3 linked regions of the Schizosaccharomyces pombe genome follow. The gene in region 1 interacts genetically with each later gene. Each region holds a gene or a part of one and is shown in the gene's direction. Other genes may lie near its edges.

What was found. A genetic interaction does not mean that the proteins touch.
Region 2: of vts1 (region 1) and cnp20, a mutation in one rescues a mutant of the other (synthetic rescue), as found in Schizosaccharomyces pombe (one large-scale study listed by BioGRID).
Region 3: mutations in vts1 (region 1) and mug89 together harm fitness more than expected from each alone (negative genetic interaction), as found in Schizosaccharomyces pombe (one large-scale study listed by BioGRID).

The regions. Positions count from the first base shown.
Region 1 is NC_003423.3:3,041,028-3,048,056, reverse strand, and holds vts1 (RNA hairpin-binding protein), read left to right. Parts: upstream 1-2,046; 5' UTR 2,047-2,290; coding exon 2,291-4,432; 3' UTR 4,433-4,653; coding exon of another isoform or gene 4,654-6,255; 3' UTR 6,256-6,417; downstream 6,418-7,029. Other genes in the region: gpi14 (pig-M family mannosyltransferase), read right to left, coding at 1-77; F1-ATPase delta subunit atp16, read right to left, coding at 702-1,205; zf-C3HC4 domain-containing and GCN5-like protein cwf24, read right to left, coding at 4,654-6,255.
Region 2 is NC_003423.3:277,953-281,747, forward strand, and holds cnp20 (centromere receptor protein cnp20), read left to right. Parts: upstream 1-1,530; 5' UTR 1,531-1,711; coding exon 1,712-3,151; 3' UTR 3,152-3,295; downstream 3,296-3,795. Other genes in the region: SPOM_SPBC800.12C (ubiquitin family protein), read right to left, coding at 295-536, 578-641, 699-806; csc3 (WD repeat-containing protein), read left to right, coding at 3,677-3,795.
Region 3 is NC_003423.3:303,415-308,398, reverse strand, and holds mug89 (phospholipid-translocating ATPase complex Lem3 family subunit), read left to right. Parts: upstream 1-1,701; 5' UTR 1,702-1,907; coding exon 1,908-3,098; 3' UTR 3,099-4,484; downstream 4,485-4,984. Other genes in the region: SPOM_SPBC1773.12 (transcription factor), read right to left, coding at 1-239; asparagine--tRNA (Asn) ligase Nrs1, read left to right, coding at 4,711-4,984.

The DNA.
Region 1 (7,029 bases):
CGTGGATACTGCAATGTGATGAAGACTAACAGCGGGAAGAAATAGAAGTAAACAAATACTTCAAGGAATGTAATCATTATATGTGATTGATGATTTTCGAATTTTATGCACTAAAAGCATACGGAAAGTCAACATGCATGCAATATGTTTGGTACTAAATAAAGTGCGCTACGGCGTGGGTAGTAAATAAAGTCAATAGCAGAGTTAATGCAATTTTGAGTCGTTATTGGATTGAGATAACAATTTTCGGCTTTTAAGGGTTTTCAGCTTCTTTTATTGTAAAATAAATTGTGATAGAGATTTTTGTATTCACATGTAGTCGCCAAAATTGCTAATGACTATGACAAAACTTTGCAATCGGTGCATGAAAAACACCGCTTTAAATCTACTGGTAAAATACATTACACAATATGTAATCATTGAGTATAATTGAAAAACATAATTTCCATCGAAAAAAAAATAATTGTATTTGCTGTTAAATGTATTCGTAATCAGAGATGGGATTGGGATTGAAGCTAAAAACATATGTTGGAACAAAACCTATTGATATCAGTTGAGAAAAGACACTAGTAATAAATCCCCAAACTTATAAACTTCGTTCTTTCGAAAAAGAGTGTACACTATGAAGGAATCACAACATAACCTGTTTACTTTCATGTACACAACTGTAAAATCAGCAGCCAACTAGAAATATTGCTAGCTTATTTTAAAGCGCGAACGAGGGATTCCAAAACACTGACTCGAACCGCCGCCTCGGCAGCAACCCCCTCATCAGAAGAATTCATCTCAGCTTTGTGCTTTTCAAGAAGTTGATTTGCGACAGAAGAAGAAAAGTCTTCAAGTTTATAAGCTTCAGGAACGGTGATAGAAAGTTCATTAGAAGGCTGTTGTACCGCAAATCCTCCAGAAATGAAATATTTTGATTTGTTGCTGGATTCATCAGTAACAGAAATAACTCCTGGCTTAAGACACTGAATCATGGGAACATGATCTTTAAGGATACCCATCTCGCCATCTTCCGCAGGGATGTCGACCTGAGTTACAGGAACCTTCTCATAGATGGTTTGGTATGGCAATGCCATGGAAAGTACTAATTTTTCATTTTTCTGAACAGCTTGGGCATAACCACGAATTCCAAAAGGAGCACGTACTAAACCTTGAGGAAATTGTGATTTTCTCAGCATGTAATTTGATAAACGAAACATAATGTTGTTGTTCGGAGTATTGAGTGGGTTAAGGGGGGTGTGATGCTGCTTCGCTGACTGTGGGAATAACTATGCGGAAAAGTGAATGCTGTCAAATAGTTCTACGAGTAGTATTTTAAAGAAATTACGATTAACAAATATATTCTATACTTTTTTAAAAGTAAAAAAATTCTTCAAGTTGTACAATAAATGATTAAGTGATGTGCCAACAGTTTAAGTTCATGAATTTTAAAGCAACTCGTAAAGTACAGGAAAGTGGATAACTTTCTTAATTCCATAAAGATGAATGATTACATTAGAAAAATAGGCTTCTTCTTTTCCTCAAAAGTAAGTCATTCTTTGTATTATTAAATAACAAGTTGTTTATATACTACAATGTAAATCCGCGAAAAAATCACCAAGTTGAATCTTCCGGATATATTTATTTATTGAATGCTTTGTACAATGGCTAAGTTACTTGGTAATAATCTTTTGATTTGAATATATAGACATGTAGATACAGTTTACAACATTTACCTGATTTTGTAAATATAAAGCAAATATAAACATGTTTCAGTTTATTGGACAACGAATTACAAAGCAAACATAGCATCTGCACGTGTAGATTCATTACGAAGCCATTTGCTGAAGTGGTAATCGTGAGTAAGAAAATAAGAGAAGACCAATTTAGATGTCTGAGTAAACATAGTATATTTTATGCAATTCAGTAAACAAGAATATCTGAAAGAACTAACATTTTCTGCAAACAAGTGTAAAATCAACTATTTTTTTGGCATACTGGCTTGCATATCGCTAAATATAGCGGACCCCGAACTAACATTTATCCGTCTTTCCTCCTTCCACCAACTAGTAGTCATTTTTCAAAACAAAGATCCCTGCTTCGACGCTGGTCGTTTTTAAATTCCTAGGGATCTCCTTTTATCATTTGTTTTTACTCATCAATTTGAAGATTCAGCGAGGCAGATTTGATTATAAGGAGTTAGTTTAGAGGGGGAACTTAGGTTCATTAGGATCAACTACTTTTTCAACTTTTATCTTCTTTTATCGACCATTTTTCATTTCAAAATCTATACTGCCTGATTTAGATGGAAGTGGTTGAAGGAAGACGGAAGACGTGCCTTGACGTTGTTGATTCTCCATCTTCACGTCAAAAACAAACTATAGCTGTCTCGTTGGTAGATGGTAAAAACTATCCTACGCGATTTTTAAATAGTAGGACCATAGATAAATTGAAGCAAGAATTAAACACTTCTAATCTGTCGACTGGAGAAATGTCTACTAACGAAACCTTAAAAAATGCTCAAGAAGTTGCCGGTAAGCTTCTATCCGAAGAGAATGAAGATTCAATATCGGAACATTTCGATGAGTATTTAGGAGCTGATAAGCCTGGTATATCCTTTTTGACTCGTCTGAAAACTCTTGAAAGCTGGTTTCAATCCTTAAGTCTCCAAGATCGACTGACGACCTTACGGACTCTTTTGCATCACCTTCCTTCTCAAGAAATATCTACACTTCTGTCGTCTAGCCTTACGTCCTCTCCTTCAAACTCTGGCTTATCTTTAGACAAATCTCTCCCTTCGTCCCCTAAAGGTGACTCACCTTCCCTTTCAAGTTCACTTCCTTCATTGACCACAAAATCCAACTTGTCTGGAAATTTGAACATGGTGACTCCCGCGTCCACCCAGGGACCTGCATTTTCTTCAAAGCATGGCTTTTCTAACGCTCTTTCTACGGCTTCGCCAATTCCTGTTCGTACATCTTCAGTATCATCTACTTACCTCACGCAGGATCGTGAGGCATCTTCCAAAAATTGCCTTTCTAAGGCTTTAGCATTTTCCTCCATTGAGCCGCCTGCCTCTTCTGCTTCTACGAGTCCTCGGAATACTCCTACCCCTTCTAATAATGGGACTTCAATTAATGCTAATGTAACATCTTCTTTAACCAGCAATTCCACCGGCAAAACATCCAAGACCACTGATCTTTTAATAGCTGCATCTAAAAAGTCTTTACCGTCAAATTCAACACCATCAAAACCTAATACATCTTTTTTTGAAACTCCTCATAATAATATTTGGGATTCTCGTGATAGAGGAGCTTTTTCAGCTCCTCCTGCTCCTTTTTTTCCACTTGGATTTTCACCACATTTGAATGATGAGTCTTCTCGTTCGAGATGGAGTAATATATCTTATTCTCCGCCTCCACCACCACCTCCTCCTGAATTATTAAACCATTCTCCAAAGTCTCGCCCTTTAGGCGATAAGCCTTATCTGTTTTACCGTAATAACCAAATCGGACCTCGAACTCGAACTGAAGGAAGATCTAGCATTACAGAAGGTAAACCGTTTTTATCATCTTCCCTTCGTTTTGAGCACGTACCTTCTGCTAATGACCTAAATTCTGTAGTCAATGCTCGTGTTGAGAAATCAACTGGGCAACCATCGACGCCGTTGAATCGTCAACATTATTTCAACGAACTTCCACATTCGACTACTCCGGTTACATTACCCTCGTTGATTCATGGTTCTGAAATTGATAGGAGACGAAGTGGTTTTTGCTTGAACAATTTCAATTCAACTCCTCCCTTTCAGCCCTATCATTACGAAATTGGTTCTGGTTTACCTCAACAGATGCATGCTACCAATACGATTTTAACGAATCCTATAGATCCTAATTCTAATATCTCGACACCCGTAGGAATGCACCTTTGCACCCTTCCTTACACTTATCAACCGTTTAGTTCAGTTGAAAAAATAGAGACTCCACCCAATAATTCAAAGAACCAAACATACCGTAGAAGCTCACGGGGATCTAATAAAACCAGAAAATCGATTTCACATTCTAAAAACACAGACAAGCATGTTGGTAATGAGCTTCCGCAAGATATTCCGAGCTGGCTCAGAAGTTTGCGCCTACACAAGTATACCAATAATTTAAAGGATACGGATTGGGATGCTTTGGTTTCGTTAAGTGATCTCGATTTGCAAAATCGAGGCATCATGGCACTGGGTGCTCGTCGTAAACTGTTGAAAAGTTTTCAGGAAGTTGCACCGCTAGTATCTTCAAAAAAAATGAATGAAAATTTAAAAGCGGCGAAAAACCAAAGTTCGGAGTCTTTAACGAGCTTCAAAGGTCATACTGACTCGGAGGATCTTCCAAGTGGGAGCATGTCTAACGAAATAAGCTCGAATTCAACTAAACAGGATGTTTCTAGTTCATCAATGGACTGAGAGTTTTTTATCATTAACTAATGACACTGAACTAGATATTTTTGTTTCACATCTAGTGACACTTATCTTTACGCTATATTTGACAATACTTTTTTCATTGCTTGAGGATTTCTGTTGTTTATTTTAAGCCAAAAGGTGGACTAATCAAATATTAAAAGCTTAAACCAATTTTACAAACTGTCTTTGACATCGCTTTTGTAATATAAACATATAAGTGAATTTTAGTGATTTGAAATTATATTATTATGAGCACTTAACGGGCACACCATATAAAAAGCTGATTTGTTTTCTAGCCTTCGGTAAAAATCATTGATTTGCTTAACAATCTTAAATCCATGAGCAGTATACCATTTAATAACTGATTCGTTTGTTGTTTGTACATGAAGAGAAATTCTGTCTATATTATTGTTTATGGCAGTTTTTTTGACGTGATCAATTAATAAGCTTCCAATTCCCAGACATCTGTAAGGGGCAAGAACACATAAGACTGTTACGTAAAGTGAATTATCTTCTGCAACAAGGCTGCTAATGGCTCCAACGAATTTGTCTTCGAATGTTGCAATGCGGGCGTAATCTGGATTTTTGAGAACTAGGCGGTAGAATTTGTCACTATAAGAAGCCTCTAAAACGACACGAACGAGGCGTTTGAAATGGACTATATTGGATTCAGTAATCTCTCTTATAAAATACTTTGAAATAATTGTATTTGAATTATCACCTAAACTAGGCATTTTTTGTTGAGCCGATGTATTTGGTTTTGCCAACGTATCTGCAAACCCTTGAAATGAAGCTTCACGATCTTTACGTTCCGAAACTTCTGTAGTTGCGGAATTATTACTTTCGAAACCACCAACCTTTTGCTTGACCGCCTCGTCATTCTTTGATTTTCTATTTTTCAAAAGCCGATCAAAATTTTTGTCAACAGAAAACAAACCTTTAGTATCTGCACCACACTGGATGCATGTCGGTGTTTTACGATATCTAGTTATGGCACACTGTTCACAAAAATGGTGACCACAAGTGGTAGCAATAGGACTTCGGTAATCCTTTTTACAAATTAAACAGACGAAAGGTATATCCTCTTTTTTCTCATTTTTTACCATCCCTTCTTCCAATTTAGCTCCTTTTTTGTATTTTTCCTGGACTGAATCCCATTCTCTATCAAGTTGCCATCCAGCTTTGTAATCCTCTCGCATATGCAAAAATTTACAAGTATCTCCATAACCGCAATACCCAGTGAGCTTATAATCTTTACAAACATCGGGTTGGTAGTCAATAATTGTATTCATACGGACAGTAGAAGCATTGGAAGATAAAACTGGCCCTACTTGGCTTTTTTTCTCAAAATCTTTCCTTTTAGGCAAAAATCTAGAGTAATCGTTTTGTGACTGGAATAACTCAGTAGGAAGAGTAGACTGATTAGCTAACTTCGGAGAAGGTCGACCTAAAATGACCTCTCTCGTATCTTCGTTGATAGCCGAAACAGTTGTAGTATTAACGGACTCACCAGTAGCGCTTAGATTTGACTGATATTCAACATTTATATCTTTCAAAGCAGAGTTCTCGAATTGCTCGGATTCTCTTTGCAATCGATTTAAGCGAACGGTTTTTTTTCTTCCCGAAACAATTGGAATATTGTCCCGCATATCTTCATTTGATGATTCACTGCTGCCTCCAGAGTCATCATCTCGTTTGAATCCTTTTTTACGCTTCAGTCCTTGTCTGGGGCGATGTCTCCGACGGCTTTGAAAAATTGGAACAGCTAATTCGGTATTGATTTTTGAACCTGAAGCCTGATTGATATTTAAATTTTTTTGTTCCATTGGATGTATGGCAAAGATAATTTAATGACCAAGACACTTGAAAAATCAAATTCAAGATAGAAACGTCGTCAATTCTTCTTTAATTGAGACCCTATTTAAATTCCAAGATAGAACCACTATAATAGTTTAAACAATTAATAGTCACTAAAACAGTTCCCAAACAAGTGCTTCAAAAATTCTGATATCTAGTAGAATCAATATTAGCGCTTGCTGTTTGCTCAAAATTGTGAAACGTGTGTCCCCTTAAATAAATAAAATAAAACAACAAAAATAGAAGAAGTTTGTAGTGAAATGCAAATATATAAATTTTAGAAAGCTGCTAAGCTAAATACGTGGCCACCGAATCTGGGCTTTAGTAATATTCAGGTAGATATATTTTTTAATAATATATAGGTATTTATATTTACTTTTTAAGATTATATAGTATAACGAGGCACAAAACAAACGTTGAGTTCTATTAAGAATGTATAGTTCTCTTTTTGTGACAGTAATCAGTCTTAATAATTTAATTACTATAGTAATGACTAATATTTTCAATCTAAACATATATATACAGCCTTCAATGTAATACGTGTTTGCACAGCGTTCCCTTTAATTTATTGCTTAGCGGTACTTCATAAACACATCTAGAGATTTTTTCATATTTATTTTTATTTTATTTTATGGAGATTATGAGAAAAGGCTGAGATATGGGGGTGTTATTTTCAATTTAAACGTATAGAGCATTGCCATTTACTAGAAATTGTTAACATGAAGAGGCCGTTGCTACGACGA
Region 2 (3,795 bases), 2.8 Mb from region 1:
AAAATGTCTGTTACATTATTTACTGACTATGCTCTTTCGATTTTTGTTTTAAATTAGATTTTACTTGCCGGCGTCTTGCATAAAAAGGGAAACATAAAAATCCCAGATATGCAAAACTGAGAAAGTATAGAGCGAATTACACAAAGAAAAGCTGTAATAGTTATAACTATAACTTTCATAATAAGTATGTAATGACACACTTCATTTTTTATAAGTGTCTGACGTCGAATACTTTCCTAATCAAAAAATAGGAGAAAAACTAATATAGGTAAATACCAACATGAAACAAGTCATTTAAGAAATATTCATTAGAAACATTTGAAGATTAACTTCAGAGACACTGTCGGCATCCACATAGTCATCTAGAAGTCTGGAGTTGACAAGAGGTTTGCCTTTGTACATCAAACGGATAGAGGAAGGTTGCGTAGATAACTGAGATGCTAAAACTTCTTTAAGCTCCAAAATTGTAGACTGTACATTTATTTCAGTAGATGCTTGTTGAATGGGAGGTCGGACAGTTTTCGCAACAACATGAACTAGATTTTTAGTTAAAAGTAGTTATTTAAGCAGAATTTACCTTTCTTTTCCTCGAACAAAGCTAAATTTCCTTGAAACTCGACCAGTGGAGCAGGAATAGTGATCTATAAAACTATTAGTTTCAATAGCATATTTGTGAAACAAGAATCATTATTACGCACCGAAATAGCAGTTTCATCTATTTTTTCAATTGGAATACTATCAGGGTGATTCCTAGGGGTCTTTGAAAGCTCTTCTAGAAACGATTTAACAATTTGTACCTCGCTCATGGTGATGGTGGAATGTCAAGTTTACTCAAGCTAATTATCAAGTGTCCTAAAACCACTAAAGAGAAAATCTCGAAACAAATATCATACAAAATGCCATTAGTTCCAACTTTGACAAACAACACATCAAATCTGACGTTCAGTTTTTGATAATTATGTTACAATGCTGCTAACCGACAAATTTAAGAGTCCAAATCCTTGATGTAATAGCGCTCAAGTTCAACATAAAGTATTCTATAACTTCGTCTATTTCATGCCTTAAGCTTTACAACCTCGCGAACGTAGTTTACTCAGAATTGTCAAAAAGAATAATAATTATGATTTTAAAAATTTACTGTTAAATAAATTATTAAAGTCATAAGAAATCTTTGCATTGTTAATAAAGTTGCTGTTGCAAATACTATCCATACAAGTTTCTGAAAGTTAAGAGTTTAGTAGTTTTTAAATATTGTTTCCCTAAATGTTTTGCTTATCATTATAGCAAACAATAAAGCTAAATAGTTTAATTGTTCATTTCATGCTTTCATCTTATTTCATAGGCACATAAAGTATCTTTGCGTTTTACTTCGATTTTTTAAAAGAGGTTGTATTCCTTCATGTTTTTAGATAAGATTGCTATGGAGCAGTTTTAGAAAAGATGCGTATATAAAGACAGACAGATTAGAACTTAAGCAAGTAAAGTGTGAAGTAGTTGTATACTAATTAGAAAGATGATATAACCAACCTTACTAGAGCCATAATCTTTAATCAGCCCTGAAATCGTCTTGTTCGAATCATTTGTTTTTTAAAAGGATTGATTATTATTGTTTATTTCTCCTTAATATTTATCAAAAACTCCAAATCGCTGTATAGGTAGCATGGTATACATATATTCACTCAACCTACATTTCTAATCAATCACGCTTACAATGGCTTCTCACAATTATGAGACGCCACTCAAGAGCTCTTCCTTTCAACATTTAGTTGGTACACTTTCTCAGCGACGGCATTTTACCCCCTCTAGAAGCAGGTATACTCCACGTTCTGCTCAACGGACTGTTACTCCTCATAAACGGAGAGCTCTTGCACGCAGGAATAGTCTAGCAAGGAGAAGGAGCAATGTGTTTTCCGCAACAACTCCTAGAGACATTCTCAGAATGCTCAGTCGTGCGCTGGCAAAAAATCCAGTACCATCACCAGCTGAATCAGAATCCTCCGAGCGACGACATACTCCACAAACTAATAGTCAAAAGTCTCAAAAGACACCAAGATTGTCTTCGAATAAGCGTCGGACTTTAAAAAATGATGCTAAACAAAGGAATTCCCAATCTCCAGGTACCGACACTAGCGATGCAAATCTGACGATACAATCCATCGAAGCTCCAAGGCGTGCTCCACAGCGCCTTAGCGACTTTTTTACACCAGATGGAAGGCGTGTCAGTAATATTCGTGATTCTCTAATCTCAGAAAAACGATTAGAAAATAATATTGACCAAGTTCAAGAAAGCGCGTTAAGTACCGCTTCTAGTAATCGACTCATAGATTTAAAAAATGACGAAGTTCCTATTTTTCGCATTCCTTTAAGTGATTATGAAACAGATGACATGGATGACGGTACACCTCTCCAACGCCATGTTGCGACCCTGAACCAATATCAAAGTCCCATTTTTAATTTAGGCCCGGACATTTTAGAAGATGAACCATCTTACTCTTCAAGAGCTTCCAGATCCCGTCAATCATCTCTCTCTTCTCGATTATCTGAGTTACCTTCTAAACGCGCCAGCCTTGAGATTTTAAGGCGCGAAAATACTTTCCCAGCCGATCCAATTCAGGAATTTGGTGAAAAAGCATACAATGAAAGAGAATTGATGGAAGAAATCTCAAATTTTGAACCCTTACTAGATGATAACTTGCTTGAAAATGCCAACGAAGCTGTCAATTCCCCAGTAGTAGACGCACCAATGGATGCTGATTCTGCTTTAGAAATACCCAATGATGAAGATAATGGGGAAATTCTAAATAAACTAAAAGATTCTCCGTTTAAAAAACCTAAAAGAAGATATTCCAAATCTTCAACACTTGTGCTACCGGAAACAAATATTAGGAAGTTGGCTAATTCCTATTCACAGAAAAAAATTGCTGGATCAGTGATTGAAGAACTAACTACAGCTTCTGAACTCTTTTTCAAACAGATCGCGAATGACCTTTCGGCTTTTGCAGACCATGCTCATCGGAAAACAATTGACACGCAGGACGTGGTTTTACTTATGAAAAGACAAAGGAAAATAAGTGAGAAAAAATCCCTATCCTCTCTAATGCAGCAATATTTATCGCGTGAAATTGCACCTCCGGCAATTAAGAGAACCTAATGCGTACTTCTCCTTTACATTCATCCCTGTATATTAGAATTTTTTTCATCGTTTTACCTCTTTGGATGTTAAGATTTTTTATTAATAGTTAATTTAATGATTATTTATATTTATTGCTATTTTTATATTATTAATTAATTGTAAGGCACGTCTAGAAAATTTGTTTTCTTAGGAAATAGAATTATTTTCAAAATTTGCAACCTATGCAAGAACGCTTGATTCGATACACTTACAAGTTTGTTTAACAGCTTTTGATTATTTGTAATTTAGCCAACATTTATTTTCGTCCATTAGTTAAAATTACATGATCAAGTAAATAAATTTCATTATCTGCTAACTGCAAGAAACATTTATTTTTATAATTTTTTTTAGTATTTGAAAGATGAGTTTGCAGGGAACATCCGTAGTAGTGCTAATTACTCTCAGGTGTGTTATGTTGAATCTCTCATAAGCCATCAACGACTTTCATTCACGAGTGTCCTAAAGGTTTTTATATACCCGGGATTTTGTCGAAATAAAGCATTTATGAAATCCAACCTATCATTAAAACGGCAAGATGAAAAACGTGCCGACAAAGAGCCCAATTTGTACACATTGCAAGGTGTAATTCAATATTTACAGTACGAGGCTTTCAAGAATGAAAG
Region 3 (4,984 bases), 2.7 Mb from region 1:
ATCATTTCGGTGTACTCTCGAGTAATACCAGCTGTTGACTTCTTTACAGGCGGCTGCCCGACGACGATATGTGGGTCATCCTTGTCTACGTTTGGCTTCTTTACTCTTTTTCTTTTATTATACTTGCACGTTTCTGAGTACACTACACAATTCTGGCATTTTGGCAATTCGCCGTTACACCGAAGTTTTCTTTGCCTGCACAAGTCGCAAGCTGTGCTAATTTTTTTTATTGGTACCATTGTTTGCACATTTAAAAACTTCCAACAACACAGTCTTTTAGGCGTTTTTTTGGAATATTAAATTTTTTTGAAACTACTCGTACAGGGCACCTTGCAATATATACAATTTTGGAATTTTGTGCCATTGATAGTAAACAATGATTATCGCCGATCGATTTTTTCGCTTAATTTCGAGTATATTTCAATGACGCGAGCGCCATGATAATAAATGAACATTCCTTAAATGGGACAGATAACAAAATAATCAATCCAATTTATGGGTGAGAGAATTGTTCCTTACTGCTTGGTATCAATTTCAACCTGCCGTTCTTCATGTGATCTTACAAAAATCCATTAGTAACATAGCTTCATCATTATAAATACCATGGTAAACAGCCAAAAAATGATAATAAACAAGTCTAATCAAAAAGAATAAATGTGAATATTAATATAATGAATAGGATCAAAAGATAATGTTAGGATTTGGAGCTGAAAGCAATGGGAAGCAAAACTTTTGAATGCTACCAAATTATTCCGAACAACTACTTAAATGAAAAAATCTTTAACAATTGCTTGATATCAAACAACTTTCATTTTAGCTCGGAAATTCATTTTTAAAGGCATGAAATAAATATTGGAAGGAGCCATAATCATTCACATTTTTTGTACGTTAATTAATAACACTATGTTTCAATGTCCAGGCTTACTTATGTTAATTTAAATAAATGTGTTGAATCCCAGTTAATTGCCTAATGAGATTTCGACTTTGAGGCATTATTTACTACCATCCGAGGTTTTCAATCAGGTAGTTAAAAAAACATAAAACAAACATCAAAAGAGGTATATGATAATTAGAGTTACATATACTGTATCATTAGATACGTTGTCTCGAAAAAATGAGCTTAGTGTGGCACCAATCTTTTTTTCTTTTCTTGCAATTTACTAGACTCCACGCAGGTGGTCATTTTCAAATACTGTTTGTTTCTTTAGCTGGGCAATTTTTACCGGTAAAGTGCGCACATTTTCCTATCCAGCTCGTAAATATATTTCAAGCATTTTACTTCTCCTCTTTTGTTAACCACAGAGAATAGATAATTAATACACTTTCTTTTCTTATCTCTACAGAATCAAGTCGATCAGGTATACATTTTTACGACGAATCACTTTGAATATTATTTGTAGCAGAAAAACCATCGTCTATAAAATTTTGAAACTTCCTTTAATTGAACATCATAATTTTATAGTCCCGAAATATAACTACTATACATTAACCAACAAATGTTCTTCCCTATTTTTAAAGAAGGTATTTATAATAGCTCTTCCTTTTAAAGATGACTGCTTCACTGGCTTTGTATAGAATTTTTTTTTAAATTTGAATAGCGAAATGTACCATATTCGCAATGTCAATTATAGCACTATTAGGAATACGGAGTAATTATTTAACGCAATTTTGTATATGTACGTTGCAGATTATGTGTTTACTAAATGCCAAACGTAGAAAAATCCGTGGCTTTCAAATATCCTCTTTTTTAATCCATTATAGGCTGTTTTATTGCCTTTTGACCTATTTTAAAACAAAAAATCAATAATTTTCATCTAGAAACCACCAAAATATTACTTTTAAATTGTTTTTAATCACTTTAACGGGCTCGCTTTTAAAAAGCGATCAATTCAAGACCTTTGAGAATTATGCCGGAAGCATTAAATGAAAATGTTTCAGACACTGCATCAAATGGGCCTGTAGCAAAAACTAGAGCACCTCCTAATACTTCCTTTCGCCAACAAAGGATCAAGTCTTGGCAGCCATTGTTAACCCCTAAAATCGTGCTTCCACTTTTTTTTGTGTTAGGAATTATATTTGGTCCATTAGGAGGAGGATTACTTTATGCTAGCTCTATCGTACAAGAGCTAGTTGTTGATTATACGGATTGTGAGACTCTGGCTTCTTACGATGAATTCTCTGCCGTCCCTTCCAAAAAGTACACAGCTTCATTTGATCAATCAGGAACTATTGGATTTGACAAAGAATCAACCTACTGGAAACTGGAGAAAATTCTCGATAAAGATCTAGATATGGACGTTAACTACTGCATCATAAGATTCACAGTCCCATCTGTTTTAAAGGCGCCTATTTTCATATATTACCGTTTGACAAATTTTTTTCAAAATCATCGACGGTATGCTAAAAGTGTAGATGAAAAACAACTACAGGGAGTGGCTTTAACTGCTGACGAAGTTAAAGGAGGCAATTGTTTTCCTTTGGAAGTTAACGAAGATGACAAACCATATTATCCATGTGGTTTGATTGCAAATTCTCTTTTCAATGACACTTTTTCGTCACTGAGACTGCTGGATGATAATAGTGTTTACACTTTTTCTACCAAAAATATAGCTTGGGCTTCAGATAAAAGACGATTTTTGAAGACAAACTACAGTCCTGATGATGTTGCACCTCCTCCCAATTGGGTTTTGCGTTATCCTGATGGTTATACTGAATCAAACATGCCAGATTTGTCAACTATGGAAAATTTACAGGTTTGGATGCGTACAGCTGGTCTGCCTACTTTCAGTAAGTTGGCTATGCGGAACGATAACGACGATATTTTTCCAGGAACATACGAAATAAAAATTGGGTTGTTTTTTCCTGTTAAGAGCTTTGACGGTACCAAATCTCTGGTTCTTACGACGAGATCGGTGCTTGGAGGAAAGAATCCATTCCTTGGAATAGCTTACATTGTTGTCAGTGCTGTTTGTGTTGTGTTAGGTACCGTTTTTACATTAAGGCATTTTATCCGTCCAAGAAAGCTTGCCGATCATCGTTATTTAAATTGGGATTCTGAAGAAAATAATTTAGCACCCCATTTGAGTGATCGTCCTTAGGTTTGTCGCGATTGCCGACTATTTACAACTCTGGGTTGTAATTGCAAAATTAGTTTCCTCATAGTAGAAGGAGTTTTCTCTGTCTTCTTTTTTTTTCTACGCCTTCCGTTGTCTTTAGATTTCTTTTATTTATCAAAGGGTAGAACTATGTTGTTTTAGGTTTGATGATTACGATTGCTAATTCTGACATTCATATTACATCTTTTTGCTATACTCAATTTCATTAAAATATGACTTTTGAGGTATTTTGATGGACCCCTAATTTTCTTCATTACTGGCTTTTCAAAGGTAGTATGTGTTTTATATTTTGCTACTCAAATTAGTTTATTGTAACACACTAAATTTATCATTCAAAAGATCTTTGGAATGCCTTTACATGTACCATTCGTTTACATTTCATTCTTTTACGCTTTTCTCTTTAGTCTCATGAAACTGAGATACGGATTTTTTTTATCAATTAATAATTCGCATTATTAGCAGAATTTGTTACTGAAGTGTGCTAGCAGGTCATAACTGCTATTCTTTAGGATAAAATTGTTATGCGTGCTTACTTTGGAAACTCTATACCTGTTAATGATACTTTGGTTTAACATACTGATGAAAATATTACGCTGTTTGTAACAATCATAAATTTTTGCATTTTTCTTTTATACTAAACCGCTATTTGCTTTCCTCTGCTGCTCCATTTCTTGTCGTTCAAACCGTTTAAAGCCGTTGTTGACTATGACATTTGTATAATTAAAATTAAAAGCGTTGTAAAAAGGAAATGCTGGTGCGTAAAAGAATGCACTTGTGTATTGAAGTGTTGTGATTTGAGGACAGTCTACAATAGGTATGGCGATAAAAGTAAAGTAAATATCACTACTACCTGAATTTTGCAAGCTTATTGATATACGTGAATTGAACATTTATACCATGCCATACTGTATCATGTCAACAGGTCTAATTGGAATACTACGAAAAAAAATCATCTCTCGATATACAAAAGTCAGCACATGCTTGGCTGTATAGCGAGAACAAAAACAGAAAAAGACGATTTTGGTTATTCCTACAGACTATGCTAGCAATTAACTTATGGAGAAGTGTGTTCTTTAACCTTGCCCTACATGTAAAATATCCACTTGTAATTTAAAAAGATATTTCACAAAGTAAATTTTTCTTTTGACAATATTACAACCTTAGCTAATTTACTTTTTTTCTACCCATTGGATTTACTAATTTAAGAACGTGAGAAGCCATAAGTCAATATGGAATGAAGCAATATCTTATTGACAAGAAGTTTTCGTAGTTAACTTATTTGAGGAGTCTATTGAATACACACTGGGTTGACAATTAATTGCTCTATGTCAAATCGACTGGGGAATTAGCAATAACCATACTAATGTGATACAATGAAATGTAAATTTACAATTAAATAAAAGTACTTAATATTTCAAATATTAGCAACTAGCCGAAATTTTGGAATCATTAGCCAAAAAAAAAATTAACGCGCTTTAGCAAATGTTCTGGGTTGTAGATTTGCAGATAAGACACTCTAACGAGACTATAAGTTATCCAAGGCCGGTTATTTGATATTTAACATTTTCACTAACTTCAAACTGTCCTTTTAAAAATGGCGGGATTGGAATCAAAAGTTTCTGATATGAAAATAAAATCAGACGTTGTTTTTTATATAGACGAAGCTTCCGGTAATGATGAAACTGGCAACGGAAGTCAAACATCACCATTTAAAACTGCAATCCATGCTTTGGAAACTGATGCCAACTGTACGATCTTTGTCAAAAAAAATGGCAGTGAAGAGTTTGAGCCTATAACCACCAACGCTTTAAAGAAGGCGAAAAAGGGAGTTGAACAAGCCGCTAAGAAAAAGGCTAAGGCAGCTGAAG